Linked DNA regions of Anolis sagrei. The protein of the gene in region 1 binds, or shares a complex with, the protein of each later gene. Links are inferred from orthologs where the notes say so. Each region holds a gene or a part of one and is shown in the gene's direction. Other genes may lie near its edges.

Evidence for each region.
Region 2: the proteins of CD40 (region 1) and CD40LG are in contact, whole or in part, in a crystal structure (PDB 3QD6), measured with the Homo sapiens proteins. The link is inferred for Anolis sagrei from reciprocal best matches to the Homo sapiens genes CD40 and CD40LG. Residues at the interface, in NP_001241.1 of Homo sapiens: Glu64, Ser65, Glu66, His76, Cys77, Gln79, Tyr82, Asp84, Asn86, Leu87, Trp109, Cys119; in NP_000065.1 of Homo sapiens: Ile127, Glu129, Ala130, Lys143, Gly144, Tyr145, Tyr146, Cys178, Pro217, Cys218, Gln220, Ser245, Gln246, Ser248, His249, Gly250, Thr251, Gly252.

Annotation. Positions count from the first base shown.
Region 1 is NC_090024.1:248,020,060-248,028,288, reverse strand, and holds the start of CD40 (tumor necrosis factor receptor superfamily member 5), read left to right. Parts: upstream 1-5,229; 5' UTR 5,230-5,289; coding exon 5,290-5,388; intron 5,389-8,229.
Region 2 is NC_090030.1:25,054,892-25,062,327, forward strand, and holds the start of CD40LG (CD40 ligand), read left to right. Parts: upstream 1-4,189; coding exon 4,190-4,486; intron 4,487-7,436. UniProt on the Homo sapiens protein: Cytokine that acts as a ligand to CD40/TNFRSF5. Costimulates T-cell proliferation and cytokine production.

The DNA of each region.
Region 1 (8,229 bases):
AGCAGCAATCAGACTGTACAGCAGGCATGGGCCAACTTGAGCCCTTCCTCCAGGTGTTTTGGACTCAAAATCCCACAATTCCTCACAGCCTGGGGCCCCTTCCTTCCCCCCTCAGCTGCTTAAGCAGAAAAGGAATCATAAAAGGGAAAGGAAAGGGCCTGAGGCTGTGAGGAATGGTGGGAGTTGGAGTCCAAAATACCTGGAGAGAAGGCCGAAGTTTGCCCGTGCCTGAACTAGAGTAGAATCACACAACCCCAAGGTGGCAACCGAGCCTTTGGTATGAGTCGCCCATAAACTGAGAAAGGTGGTATACAAATGTAGTAAATAAATAGATAAATAAATAAATATTTTCCTAGCAGAATTCAACTGGGAGATATTGACAAGCTGGAATGTGTCCAGAGGAGGGCGACTAAAATGATCAAGGGTCTGGAGAACAAGCCCTATGAGGAGCGGCTTAAGGAGCTGGGCATGTTTAGACTGAAGAAGAGAAGGCTGAGAGGAGATATGATAGCCATGGATCAATATGTGAGAAGAAGCCACAGGGAGGAGGGAGCAGATCAAGGGTCTGGAGAACAAGCCCTATGAGGAGCGGCTTAAGGAGCTGGGCATGTTTAACCTGAAGAAGAGAAGGCTGAGAGGAGATATGATTAGAGCCATGTATAAATATGTGAGAGGAAGCCACAGGGAGAAGAAGGGAGCAGGCTTGTTTTCTGCTTCCTAGGAGACTAGGACGCGGAACAATGGCTTCAAACTACAAGAGAGGAGATTCCATCTGAACATTAGGAAGAACTTCCTGACTGTGAGAGCCGTTCAGCAGTGGAACTCTCTGCCCCAGAGGGAGTGTGGTGGAGGCTCCTTTTTTGAAAGCTTTTAAGCAGAGGCTGGATGGCCATCTATCAGGAGTGATTTGAATGCAATATTCCTGCTTCTTGGCAGAATGGGGTTGGACTGGATGGCCCATGAGGTCTCTTCCAACTCTTTGATTCTAGGATTCTATGATTCTATGGGGAGCGGAAGCCAATGATGGGGCAGGGGATAGAATCCTAGAATCCTAGAATCAAAGAGTTGGAAGAGACCTCCTGGGCCATCCAGTCCAACCCCATTCTGCCAAGGAGTAGGAACATTGCATTCAGAACACCCCCAACAGATGGCCATCCAGCCTCTGCTTCAAAGCTTCCAAAGAAGGAGCCTCCACCCACTCCGGGGAAGGCAGAGAGTTCCACTGCTGAACGGCTCTCACAGTCTGGAAGCTCTTCCTCATGTTCAGATGGAATCTCCTCTGTTGGAGTTTGAAGCCATTGCTCCAATGCGTCCTAGTCTCCAAGGAAGCAGAAAACAAGCTTGCTCCCTCATACCATGGGGTTGGTGCAGCCAGATCTTTGGGGGGTTGGAGTTGCTTGTCCTTTCTACGCCATTCATTCCCACCCCCTCCTCGGCAGGTCTTGAGAAGCGGTTTCTACGAAACTGCAAGTGACTGCAGGGTCAGTTCCTCTTTCTTATCTAAAAATGAGTTCAAACACATTTTGGGGGGGGGGGGGGGGAGTGAGGATGACATTATATGAACGTTGCGACTGGGCTGTGTGTGTGATTTCCAACATCGGGATAATATGAAGAGGAGAGGGTCAGGATACTAGAGTGACCCTCTGGGGTCTGACCCTTGAAGACTGGATGGCTCTCTATTGCAGCGTTTCTCAACCTGGGGGTCGAGACCCCTGGCGGGGTCGCGAGGGGTTGTCAGAGGGGTCGCCAAAGACCATCAGGAAACACAGTATTTTCTGTTGGTCATGGGAGCTCTGTGTGGAAATATTGGCCCAATTCTATCGCTGGTGGGTCTCAGAATGCTCTGATTTTAGGTGAACTCAAAAATCCCAGCAACTACAACTCCCAAATGTCAAGGTCTATTTCCCCCAAAATCCACCAGTGTTCACATTTGGGCATATTGAGTATTTGTGCCAAGTTTGGTCCAGATTGATCATTGTTTGAGTCCACAGTGCTCTCTGGATGTAGGTGAACTACAACTCCCAAACTCAAGGTCAATGCCCACCAAACCCTTCCAGTATTTTTTGTTGGCCATGAGAGTTCTGTGTGCCAAGTTTGGTTCAATTTCACTGTTGGTGGAGTTCGGAATGCTCTTTGATTGTAGGTGAACTATAAATCCCAGCAACTACGACTCCCAAATGACAAAATCAATCCGCCTGCCCAATCCCACCAGTATTCAAATTTGGACATATTGGGTTTTTGTGCAAAATTTGGGTCCAATGAATGAAAGTACATCATGCATATGAGATATTTATGTGATGATTCATAACAGTAGCAAAATTCCAGTTATGAAGTAGCAACAAAAATAATGTTATGGTTGTGGGTCACCACAACATGAGGAACTGTATTAAGGGGTCGCGGCATTAAGAAGGTTGAGGACCACTGCTCTATTGGGAGGGCTTGGATGGTGCTTTTCCTGGCAGGTTGGGGCTGGGCTGGATGGCCTTTGGGGTTTTTTCCTCCAAGTCTAGGGTGCTAGGACCATGGACAGGGATTGACCCAGAAGAGGCAGGGAAGGAGCGTCTCTCTCTACTTTCTGCGGAAGGGAAACTGGACGGGAAGGCAAGAAAAGTCAGCAGGAAACCCCAGGGAGACAAGGCTGCATAAGCAAGGAAGGAAGCAAGGAAGGAAGACCCCTCCTTGGGTTTTCCGGAGGACTTTTCCTGCCGTGGAGTTCCCTGTGGGTCTTTACAAAACATTGCAACAGACATGCATGAGCCATGAGCCAACAATGTGATGTGGCGGCAAAAAAAGCCAATGGGATTTGGGCCTGCATCAATTGGAGCATAGAGTCTAGATCTAAGGAAGTCATGCTGCCCATGCTCTATTCCGCCTTGGTTAGACCACTTTACCTGGAATATTGTGTCCAATTCTGGGCACCACAATTCAAGAGAGAGATTGACAAGCTGGAATGTGTCCAGAGGAAGAGGGCGACTACCATGATCAAGAGTCTGGAGAACAAGCCCTATGAGGAGCGGCTTAGGGAACTGGGCATGTTTAGCCTGAAGAAGAGAAGGCTGAGAGGAGACATGATGAGGGCCATGGATCAAGATGTGAGAGTTGACAAGCTGGAATGTGTCCAGAGGAGGGTGATTAAAATGATCAAGGGTCTGTAGAACAAGCCCTATGAGGAGCGGCTTAAGGAGCTGGGCATGTTTAGCCTGAAGAAGAGAAGGCTGAGAGGAGATATGATAGCCATGTATAAATATGTGAGAGTTGACAATCTGGAATGAGTCCAGAGGAGGGTGATTAAAATGATCAAGGGTCTGTAGAACAAGCCCTATGAGGAGCGGCTTAAGGAGCTGGGCTTAAGGAGAAGAGAAGGCTGAGAGGAGATATGATAGCCATGTATAAATATGTGAGAGTTGACAAGCTGGAATGCGGAAGGGAAACTGAACTGAATGTTTCCACCTGAACATGAGGAAGAACTTCCTGACTGTGAGAGCCGTTCAGCAGTGGAACTCTCTGCCCCGGAGGGAGTGTGGTGGAGGCTCCTTCTTTGGAAGCTTTTAAGCAGAGGCTGGATGGCCATCTGTCAGGGGTGATTTGAATGCAATATTCCTGCTTCTTGGCAGAATGGGGTTGGACTGGATGGTGGCCCAGGAGGTCTCTTCCAACTCTTTGATTCTAGGATTCTATGCGCATAAGTATTTGTTGCAAACAGTGTGCTGTTTTCCAGCTATTTGTGTTCCATGATCATTTCTCCGATAATATCTTTTCTTTAAGGAGTCACAGTCTTCTATTTGAATCGTACATACTCATAAAGGCATCCTAGGCTCTAAAGCAGTGGCTCTCACCCTTCCTAATGCCGCGACCCCTTAATACAGTTCCTCATGTTGTGTTGACCCACAACCAGAAGATTGTTTTCGTTGCAACTTCATCACTGTCATTTTGCCACTCTTAAGAATCGTCATGTCAATATCTGACATGCAAGAGGTATTATCATGCACTGGACCAAATTTGGCACAAATATCTTATACGCCTACATTTGAATGCTGGTGGCGTTGGGGGATAGTTGATTTTGTCACTTGGGAGTTGTAGTTGCTGGGATTTATAGTTCACCTGTAAACAAAGAGCATTCTGAACTCCACCAACGATGGAATTGGACCAAACTTGGCACACAAAACTCCTGACACCAACAGAAAGTACTAGAAGGGTTTGGTGGGCATTGGCCTTGAGTTTGGGAGTTGTAGTTCACCTATATCCAGAGAGCACTGTGGACTCAAACAATGCTGGATCTGGACCAAACTTGGCACAGAGTTTGCTTGGAGTTGTAGTTCACCTACATCCAGAGAGCACTGACAGATCTGGACCAAATTTGGCATGGATAATCAATATGCCCAAATGTGAACACTGGTGGAGTTTGGGGGAAATAGACCTTGACATTTAGGAGTTGTAGTTGCTGGGATTTATAGTTCACCTGCAATCAAAGAGCATTCTGAATTCCACTAACAATGGAATTGGACCAAACTTGGCACACAAATCTCCTGAGACCAACAGAAAGTACTGGAAGAGTTTGGTGGGCATTGACCTTGAGTTTGGGAGTTGCAGTTCACCTACATCCAGAGAGCTCTGTGGACTCAAACAATGATAGATCTGGACCAAACTTGGCATGGATAATCAATATACCCTAATGTGAACACTGGTGGAGTTTGGTGAAAATAAACCTTGACATTTGGGAGTTGTCATTGCTGGGATGTATAGTTCACATACAATCAAAAAGCATTCTGAACTCTACTGTCAAAGGCTTTCATAGCCGGAATTATTGGGTTGTGGTAGGTTTTTTCGGGCTGTCTGGCCATGTTCTAGAAGCATTCTCTCCTGGTGTTTCGCCTGCATCTGTGGCAGGCATCCTAGGAGGTTTTGAGACCTCCCAACCTCTGAGGATGCTTGCCCTAGATGCAGGCGAAACGTCAGGAGAGAATGCTTCTAGAACATGGCCAGACAGCCCGTAAATTTCTACAAAAACCCAATTATGGGGATCTTCCTGGTCCTGTTTGGCCGGGAATGCTCTGGAAGGGAAACCCCGGAGGCGATGGGGAGGGCCAGTGGGGGGGGGGGCGCTCTGCCCATGCTCAGAGGCAGGGGGGGATTCCCCGGCGGGGCGGCATTGGGCGGAGGGGAGGGGGCGGGGCGGGGCAGGGGGCGTGGCGCCTCTTCTGTCTCCTCCTCCTCCTCCTCTTTCTTCTTCCCGGGGGGCTCTTAAGGGCAGCGCTCCGGCCCTCCTCTTGCAGAAGGAAGAGGGTGGGCATGGGGTCTGGCTGGAGGTCAGCGGGGCTCCGGCCAGGGCGCTTCTTCTCCTCGTGGGCGCTGACCTGGGCCCTCCTCGCCACCCACCTCGGACGCGCCGTGAGTTTCGCTTTCGCTTCGGACACCAAGAAAAGGGGGGGGGGGCACAGGTCGGGGCTTTCCTTTCTTTCTTTCTTTCTTTCTTTCTTTCTTTCTTTCTTTCTCGCTTTTATTTCCCTCCCTCCCTTCTTTCCCTTCTTTTCTCTACTCCTCCCTTTCTGAGTCCCGGGGAGGAGGAGAGGGTCCCTCTCTGCCCGAAATGGGGGCTTCTGGGGGGAAAGGGGGTGGAACTGCGCTTTCTTTCCTTCCCTTCCTTCTTAGAATCATAGAATCCTAGAATCAAAGAGTTGGGAGAGACCTCCTGGGCCATCCAGTCCAGCCCCATTCTGCCAAGAAGCAGGAATGTTGCATTCAAATCACCCCTGACAGATGGCCATCCAGCCTCTGCTTCAAAGCTTCCAAAGAAGGAGCCTCCACCACACTCCGGAGCAGAGAGTTCCACTGCTGAACGGCGCTCACAGTCAGGAAGTTCTTCCAAATGTTCAGGTGGAATCTCCTCTCTTGGAGTTTGAAGCCATTCTTCCATTGCGTCCTAGTCTCCAGGGAAGCAGGAAACAAGCCTGCTCCCTCCTCCTCCCTGTGGCTTCCTCTCACATATTTATACATGGCCCTCATCATATCCCCTCTCAGCCTTCTCTTCTTCAGGCTAAACATGCCCAGCTCCTTAAGCCGCTCCTCATAGGGCTTGTTCTCCAGACCCTTGATCATTTTAGCCGCCCTCCTCTGGACACATTCCAGCTTAGAGTCAATATCTCTCTTGAATTGTGGTGCCCAGAATTGGACACAATATTCCAGATGTGGTCTAACCAAAGCAGAATAGAGCATGGGGAGCATAGAATCATAGAATCATAGAATCAAAGAGTTGGAAGAGACCTCATGGGCCATCCAGTCCAACCCCATTCTGCCAAGAAGCAGGAATATTGCATTCAAATCACCCCTGACAAATGGCCATCCAGCCTCTGTTTAAAAGCTTCCAAAGAAGGAGCCTCCACCACATTCCGGGGCAGAGAGTTCCACTGCTGAACGGCTCTCACAGTCAGGAAGTTCTTCCCTGGATCTAGACACTAGGCTCCTCTTGATGCAGGCCAAAATCCCACTGGCTTTCTTTCTTCCTTTCCTTCCTTTCCTTGATCTTCTTTCTTTCTTTCTTTCCTTCCGTCCTTCCTTTCCTTTCCTTTCCATTCTTTCCTTTTTCCCCTTCTCTCATTCCTTCCTTTCTTTTTTCCTTTCTTTCCTCTCTCCTTCCTCCCTTCTTTTCTTTCCTTCCTTCCTTTCTTTTTCCTTTCTTCCCTCTCTCCTTCTTCCCTTCCTTTCCTCTCTCCTTCCTCCCTTCTTTTCTTTCCTTCCTCCCTCCCTTCCTTTCTTTTCTCCTTTCTTTCCTCTCTCCTTCCTTCCTTGCTTCTCTCCTTCCTTTCCTTCCTCTTCTTTCCTTCCTTCCTTCCTTCCTTCCTTTCCTTTCCTTTCCTTTCCTTTCCTTTCCTTTCCTTTCCTTTCCTTTCCATTCTTTCCTTTTCCCCCTTCTCTCATTCCTTCCTTCCTTTTTCCTTTTTTCCCTCTCTCCTTCCTCCCTTCTTTTCTTTCCTCCCTCCCTCCCTTCCTTTTTCCTTTCTTTCTTCTCTCCTTCTTCCCATCCGTTCTTCTCTCCTTCCTTCCTTCCCTTTCTCCTTCCTCCCTTTCCTTTCTTACTTCTCTCTGTCCTTCCTTTCTTTTTTCCTTTCTTTCCTCTCTCTTTCCTCCCTTCTTTTCTTTCCTTCCTTCCTTCCTTTCTTTTTCCTTTCTTCCCTCTCTCCTTCTTCCCTTCCTTTCCTCTCTCCTTCCTCCCTTCTTTTCTTTCCTTCCTCCCTTCCTTCCTTTCTTTTCTCCTTTCTTTCCTCTCTCCTTCCTTCCTTGCTTCCCTCCTTCCTTTCCTTCCTCTTCTTTCCTTCCTTCCTTTCCTTTCCTTTCCTTTCCATTCTTTCCTTTTCCCCCTTCTCTCATTCCTTCCTTCCTTTTTCCTTTCTCCCCTCTCTCCTTCCTCCCTTCTTTTCTTTCTTCCCTCCCTCCATTCCTTTTTCCTTTCTTTCTTCTCTCCTTCTTCCCATCCGTTCTTCTCTCCTCCCTTCCTTCCCTTTCTCCTTCCTCCCTTCCCTTTCTTACTTCTCTCCGTCCGTCCTTTCTTTTTTCCTTTCTTTCCTCTCTCCTTCCTTCCTTCCTCTACTCCCACCTGTCTTTTTTCCCATCCTCCCCTTCCATTCCTTTCTTCTTTCATTTCATCCCTTCCCTTTTCCTTTCCTCCTTTCCTTTCCAGGTCGTTTGGTGGGGGGGGGGGCTTCCTCGCGTCCCCACCCTCGGCCCCTCCCCCACCCAGGGACCCCTCCCTTGGGGATCCCCCACCCCCCATTGACTATGAACTAGTTCAGAAGTATGGTGTGTTCTCCAAGATCCTTTCACCACCGTCCCAAACATAGTTGGTGGGGAGGAGAGGGGGGTGGCTTCTCAGTGGTGGCCCCTGGGTTTGGAATGCCTTCCCCAGGGAGATTTATTCATTTTATGTACTGTATGTGTATACTGCCCTTCTCAGCCCTCAGGAGATGAGGCTGGCACCCACTCTGTCCGCCTTTCGCAGAGACCTCAAAACTCAAATGTTCCAGTGTTCCTTTGATCATGATTAGATTCCCAGGTGGCACAGCGAGTTAAACCGCTGAGCTGCTGAACTTGCTAATTGGAAGGTTGCCAGTTTGATTCCAGGGAGTGGGGTGAGCACCCACTATTAGCCCCAGCTTCTGTCAACTTAGCAGTTTGAAAACATGCAAATGTGAGTTGATCAATAGGGACCAGGAAATCAGAAGATGTTTCCTTCTT
Region 2 (7,436 bases), on another chromosome or scaffold:
CCTCTGTGAGCAAACCAGAAGCTCTTTCATCAGGTGGCGTCACGAGGCCGTGCCGTGCCTCATGGGTTGCTCTGCTTCAAGGTGTCAAACCTCAGCTCCTTTACGTAGAAAAACCTTCAGTTGTGGCTGCGCACCGTTTGGACGCCATCAAGCTTGACTCAGCAGGAGCCAGTTCAAAGCTGGCACGTTGGCTTCCCGCCCTTGAGGCTGTCGGTTGATAAGAAGAACGTTCTCCAAGCCAAAGACTCAGTGATCGAGGCCACCTTTGTAGACCTCTGGGCAACTTCTACTTACTGGCTCCTCCATTCTCCAGCCCAGACCACTATATTACTGTGAGGGAGGTTTTCAGTTGGAAAGGACTGAGTTAATATTCAATGGGGAACAAAAAGGCTGTGCCACAAGGCTTGGTGGAGATTTTGGGAAGGCTAGATCTCAGTCATTGTCTCCTAATTCAAGAAGCAAATGTTGACTTCAAAGCCATGACAGGGTCAGTCTTATGAGAAGACCAAACACAAACCTCCAATTGAGGTCGAACATGAAAGAAAGTAACTTATAGTTTTGCTTACTTACTTAGGCAATCCCTCGTTTTCTGAGGATGATTGTCTTCCAATATTCTTGTGGGTCCGTATGTGGCTGTGGAGCCCTATTCTTGCTCTGAATCTTCTTTCGCAGTGAGGGCATTGGTTTCCAGGTGGAAGGCGGTCTCGGTCGGGGTTGGCTTGGCACGCCTTCCTCTTGGCACGCTTCTCCCTTTCGCCCTCCATTCGTGCCTCTTCAAATTCTGCAGCACTGCTGGTCACAGCTGACCTCCAGCTGGAGCGCTCAAGGGCCAGGGCTTCCCAGTTCTCATTGTCTATGCCAGAGTTTTTAAGGTTGGCTTTGTGCCCATCTTTCAATCTCTTTTCCTGTCCACCAACATTCCATTTTCCGTTCTTGAGTTCGGAGTAGAGCAATTGCTTCGGGAGACGGTGGTCGGGCATCCGGACAACATGGCCGGTCCAGCGGACCATTGCTTCAATGCTGGTGGTCTTTGCTTCTTCCAACATGCTGGTGTTTGTCCACCTGTCTTCCCAGCAGAGTTGATGGCGGAGGACCATCGCTTCAATGCTGGTGGTCTTTGCTTCTTCCAGCACGCTGTTTGTCCACTTGTCTTCCCAAGAGATTTGCAGGATTTGCATGGATATGACTTTTAGTATGATTTCTGTATTTCTATATTTCCCCTCATGTATCTGACCTTTTCCTGACCCTTTTGCCCCATTCCCATCTCTTTGAGAAAAATGTGTAAGGAAGTCGCTTTGCCCTGGGAAAGAAAGCATTTAGCGATTGTAGAAACTCTTATCTAAGAACATTCCTTGCATGGACCATAACAAAGAAACATCTCCCTGACTTCAGAGGATTTGGCCATCAGGGAGATGATTGCTTGGCAGAATTTTACAATAGGATAAGGGAGAGCCTTTGGAAAGTTCCTCCCTCCTGACCTGTTTCCATTCAAGCCCATCCCATTGAAGACATTCACCTCTAGTCTCCCCCATTGTACCCCTGCCTTATCATAAGAGGAAAACCCGGATTAAGTGATATTGTCAAAATCAATGTGTCAATCACAACACAATAGTCTAGCTTTGCTTGTAGGCCATTTTAGGACTCGCCAAGCCCCTCGACATTTCCTGATACCATAATCCACTCAAGAATGCATTGTATTCCCTTGTCCCGCCTCCCTCCCTCCTGATTCGCTGGAGCACCTAGGCGGCAGAAGCCTCCTGATTGGCTCTGGCGCACTGCAGAAGCCCTGTGATTGGCCCAGGCGCTCGGGGGGGGGGGACTGAGCCTCCTCCCAGCTGTTAGCTCACTGTTGGTCATGGGAGTTCTGTGTGCCAAGTTTGGTTCAATTCCATCATTGGTGGAGTTCCAAATGCTCTTTGAATGTACATTAACTATAAATCCCAGCAACTACAACTCCCAAATGACAAAATCAATCCCCGCAACCCCACCAGTATTCAAATTTGGGCATATCGGGGTTTTGTGCCAAGTTTGGTCCAATGAATGAAAATACGTCCTGCATATCAGATATTTATATTAGCAAAATTACTGCTCTGCATCGCCTCTGGGCTGAGAAGGGCGGTATATAGCAATGAAAATAATTTTACAGTTGGGGGTCACCATGACATGGGGGACTGTATTAAGGAGTCACAGCATTAGGAAGGTTGAGAACCACTATGCTAAGGGAAAAAAAGGTAAAGGTAGTCCCCTGACATTAAGTCCAGTCATGTCTGACTCTGGGGTGTGGTGCTCATCTCCATTTCTAAGCCAAAGAGTCGGCGTTGTCCGTAGACACCTCCAAGGTCATGTGGTCGGCATGACTGCATGGAGCGCCGTTACCTTCCCGCCGGAGCAGTACCTATTGATCTACTCACATTTGCATGTTTTCGAACTGCTAGGTTGGCAGAAGCTGGGGCTGACAGCGGAAGCTCACACCCCTCCCCGGAATCGAACCTGCAACCTTTCGATCAACAAGCTCAGCAGCTCAGTGCTTTAATCCACTGCGCCACCGGGGGCTGTGCTAAGGAAACAGCGTGTGATATTGAATGTTCCCAATTTTATACACATAGTGGGTTAGTGTGCTAAAGTCTATGGGTGCTTCTGCCGCCAACTTCATTCTTACAGTCAGGTATTTATTTGTCGTGTCAGGGCAACCAGTCAATTGTATTACATTTCTAACAGAACAAAACAAACAAACAGACAAAACACAAAATTTGCAAGCTTGGTAATTGATTACATGTCCTTTGACCAGTATCAGGCCACCTGGAATGCCTCTGGTGTTGCCGCAAGGAGGTCCTCCAATGTGCATGTGGCAGGGCTCAGGGTGCATTGTAGCAAGTGCTCTATAGTTTGCTCTTCTCCGCACTCGCATGTCGTGGATTCCACTTTGTAGCCCCATTTCTGAAGGTTGGCTCTGCATCTCGTGGTGCCAGAGCGCAGTCTGTTCAGCGCCTTCCAAGTCGCCCAGTTTTCTGTGTGCCCAGGGGGGAGTCTCTCATTTGGTATCAGCCATTGATTGAGATTCTGGGTTTGAGCCTGCCACTTTTGGACTCTCACTTGCTGAGGTGTTCCAGCGAGTGTCTCTAGATCAGTGGTTCTCAACCTTTCTAATGCCGCGACCCCTTAGTATAGTTCCTCATGTTGTGATGACTCCCAACCATAACATTATTTTCATTGCTACTTCATAACTGTAAGTTTGCTACTGTTGTGAATTGCAATGTAAATATCTGATATTCAGGATGTATTTTCATTCACTAAACCAAATTTGGGACACAGTCATTGATTAAGATTCTGGGTTTGAGCCTGCCACTTTTGGACTCTCGCTTGCTGGGGTGTTCCAGCAAGTGTCTCTGTAGATCTTAGAAAACTATTTTTAGATTTAAGTTGTGACGTGCTGGCTGATACCCAAACAGGGGATGAGCTGGAGATGTCACTGCCTTGGTCCTTTCACTATTGGCTGCTACTTCCTGGCGGATTTCAGGTGGTGCAATATCGGCTAAGCAGTGTAATTTCTCCAGTAGTGTTGTGCGCAGACACCCTGTGATAATGCAGCATGTCTCATTAAGAGCCACATCCACTGTTTTAGCGTGGTGAGATGTGTTCCACACTGGGCATGCATACCTAGCAGCAGAGTAGCATAGCGCAAGGGCAGATGTCTTCAGTGTGTCTGGTTGTGATCCCCAGGTTGTGCCATTCAGCTTTCATGTGATATTGTTTCTAGCGCCCACTTTTTGCTTGATGTTCAGGCAGTGCTTCTTGTAGGTCAGAGCACGGTCCAGAGTGACTCCCATTGCACTGCAATGCTCCAGTGGGATTCCTTCCCAGGTAATCCTCAGAGCTTGGGATGCTTGTCTGTTCTTGAGATGAAAAGCACATGTCTGTGTTTTAGATGGGTCAGGTTGCATCAACCTTCTCTTAGCAGCGGTCTCCATCTGATCTTACTCTCTTTTCTTATGATCACAGATGGAGATCATGGGAAAAGAGACTAAGTAGAGGAAAGAATGGTAGTAGAGAAGATAGGATGAACTAATGAAAGAGCAGCACACACACTTTTTTTCGGGTCGCAATTGACGTGAGCCTCAAATACCGAGTTGAAATAGCTATTTGTTTTTGCTGTTGTTGTGGGAGAAGACTGTGAACACATCTCCCCACAATGGAAGATGCGATTGTTCCCCAGGAAGTTGTGGGCAGGCACAATGATGTGCTACCTTTCTCATTGCCTTGCGCAGTGCCTAAGAACCAAGGCAGCCTTGATGTTCCTCACACAGCCAAGGCTTTGGAAGGCACCAGACGTATGGAAGCTGGAGACGCGTACTCCCCTCCTAGCCCCAGGTCCTCCGGCTCAACCGTCACCATGAAGGCCTTCCTGGGCCTCATCACCGCATTTGTGATCGCGCAGCTGGTCGGGACCGCCATGTTTGGCTTGTATCTGCACATGAAGTTGGACAAGGTAAGGCTGAACTCAGCAGATGGAGTTGCCAGGACAGGCTCCGAGAGTAACCACATTTTCATGGGTGGGCGCCATCTTTGGCTTACCATCCAAGGACAAAAGGAGATCTTTAGAGGTCCTAGAATCATAGATTCAAAGAGTTGGAAGAGACCTCATGGTCCATCCTGCCAAGAAGCAGGAATATTGCATTCAAAGCACCCCTGACAGATGGCCATCCAGCCTCTGTTTAAAAGCTTCCACCACACTTCGGGGCAGAGAGTTCCACTGCTGAACAGCTCTCACAGTCAGGAAGTTCTTCCTCATGTTCAGATGGAATCTCCTTTCTTGTAGTTTGAAGTCATTGTTCCATTGCGTCCTAGTCTCCAGGGAAGCAGAAAACAAGCTTGCTCCCTCCTCCCTGTGACTTCCTCTCACATATTTATACATGGCTATCATGTCTCCTCTCAGCCTTCTTCAGGCTAAACATGCCCAGCTCCTTAAGCCGCTCCTCATAGGGCTTGTTCTCCAGACCCTTGATCATTTTAGTCGCCCTCCTCTGGACACATTCCAGCTTGTCAATATCTCTCTTGAACTGTGGTGCCCAGAATTTGACACAATATTCCAGATGTGGTCTAACCAAAGCGGAATAGAGGGGTAGCATTACTTCCCTAGATCTAGACACTAGGCTCCTATTGATGCAGGCCAAAATCCCATTGCTTTTTTCTTTGCCGCCACATCACATTGTTGGCTCATGTTTAACTTGTTGTCCACGAAGACGCCAAGATCTTTTTCACAAGTACTGCTCTCAAGCCAGGCATTGTCCCCCATTCTGTTTCTTTGCATTTCGTTTTTCCTGCCAAAGTGGAGTATCTTGCATTTGTGACTGTTGAACTTCATTTTGTTAGTTTTGGCCAATCATCTCTCTAATCTGTCAAGATCATTTTGAATCCTGCTCCTGTCCTCTGGAGTATTGGCTCTCCCTCCCAATTTGGTGTCGTCTGCAAACTTGATGATCCTGCCTTCTAACCCTTCATCTAAGTCATTAATAAAGATGTTGAAGAGGACCGGGACCAGGACGGAACCCTGCTGATGGCACTCCGCTCGTCACTTCTTTCCAGGACGAAGAGGAAGCCTTGGGGAGAATCATCCTCTGGGTTCGTCCACTTAACCAATTACAGATCCACCTCACCATAGTTTTGCCTTGCCCACATTGGACTAGTTTCCTTGCCAGAAGGTCATGGGGGACCTTGTCGAAAGCCTTACTGAAATCCAGGTACGCTCCATCCACGGCATTCCCCGCATCTACCCATCTTGTAACTCTATTGAAAAAAGAGATCAGATTAGTCTGGCATGACTTGTTTTTGATAAATCCATGTTGATTATTAGCGATGACCGCATTTGTTTCTAAGTGTTTGCAGACCACTTCCTTAACAATATTTCCCAGAATCTTGCCTGGTGTCGATGTGAGGCTGACCGGACAGTAATTGTTTGGGTCATCCTTTTTTCCCTTCTTGAAGATTGGGACCACATTGGCCCTCCTCCAATCTGCTGGAACTTCTCCTGTTCTCCAAGAACTCTCAAAGATGGTTCCGAAATGACTTCCGCTAGTTCCTTCAATACTCTTGGGTGTAGTTGATCTGGCCCTGGGGACTTGAACTCATTTAGAGCGGCCAGAGCTTAAAATGTTTCGATTGCGTTGGTTGTTCTATCAGGACAGGATCCAAAAGGAACTAAATTCTGATCATTTTTAGTTAACCATCCAAGCTCAGATAAAGATCTTTAGAGAACCTAAACTCTTCAAACATTTGGGTGTCATTGGTTGCTTGGTCAGGAGAGGATCCAAAAGGAACCACATTTGCATGGGTTGGACGCCATCTTCGGCTTACCATCTGAAGTTGGATGGAGACCTTTGGAGGTTCTACTCACCACTTAGATTCTCTTGATCTTGTGTTCTTCTTTCTTAATAACCTTCCCTAACTTGGCCACTTTCTGATCTTGCTTTGTCTGTTTTTCCATCTGTGAAATATTGAAAGCTCTGGGTCTTTCCCCTAGCTATTCCCTAGCTCATGTTTGAGTGCCAACTCACTGGGTTTGGCTGCCTCAGCCAAGGCCGTTCTAGATACGGAAGCTGAAATTGCTAATGGAACAGCATCTTCCATGACGCGATGTCATCCTAAACACGCCAACTTTGCCCAATTTTGGATGTTAACCAATGGATGGCAGACCATCAGGGAACTTTCCAGAGTTTTGGGAACTATTCTTTCCTAGAGGTTGGTGGAGCTGAAGCTTCAGAGATAGATGGGCCAAGGGTCTGACTCAGTTTGAGACAATGCGACTAAAATGATCAAGGAGGGCGACTAAAATGATCAAGGGTCTGGAGAACAAGCCCTATGAGGACCAGCTTAAGGAACTGGGCATTTTTAGCCTGAAAAAGAGAAGGCTGAGAGGAGATATGATAGCCATGTATAAATATGTGAGAGGAAGCCACAGGGAGGAGGGAGCAAGCTTGTTTTCTGCTTCCTTGGAGACTAGGACGCGGAACAATGGCTTCAAACTACAAGAGAGGAGATTCCATCTGAACATGAGGAAGAACTTCCTGACTGTGAGAGCCGTTCAGCAGTGGAACTCTCTGCCCCGGAGTGTGGTGGAGGCTCCTTCTTTGGAAGCTTTTAAACAGAGGCTGGATGGCCATCTGTCAGGGGTGATTTGAATGCAATATTCCTGCTTCTTGGCAGAATGGGGTTGGACTGGATGGCCCATGAGGTCTCTTCCCACTCTTTGATGCTCTGATTCTAATGCCCTTTGCTTCTTGGGGAAGATAAAGTGAGCCCTTGTTCTCCGCTGGATTTGTTTCCATAACGTATCTATATCTATAGATGGTTAAGTTCCATGATATAGCAACATTGTGTCCCTTGTATAAAAGGGCACAGTCAAGGTTAGCATTTTGGGATATTTTCAAGTCATGGATGGT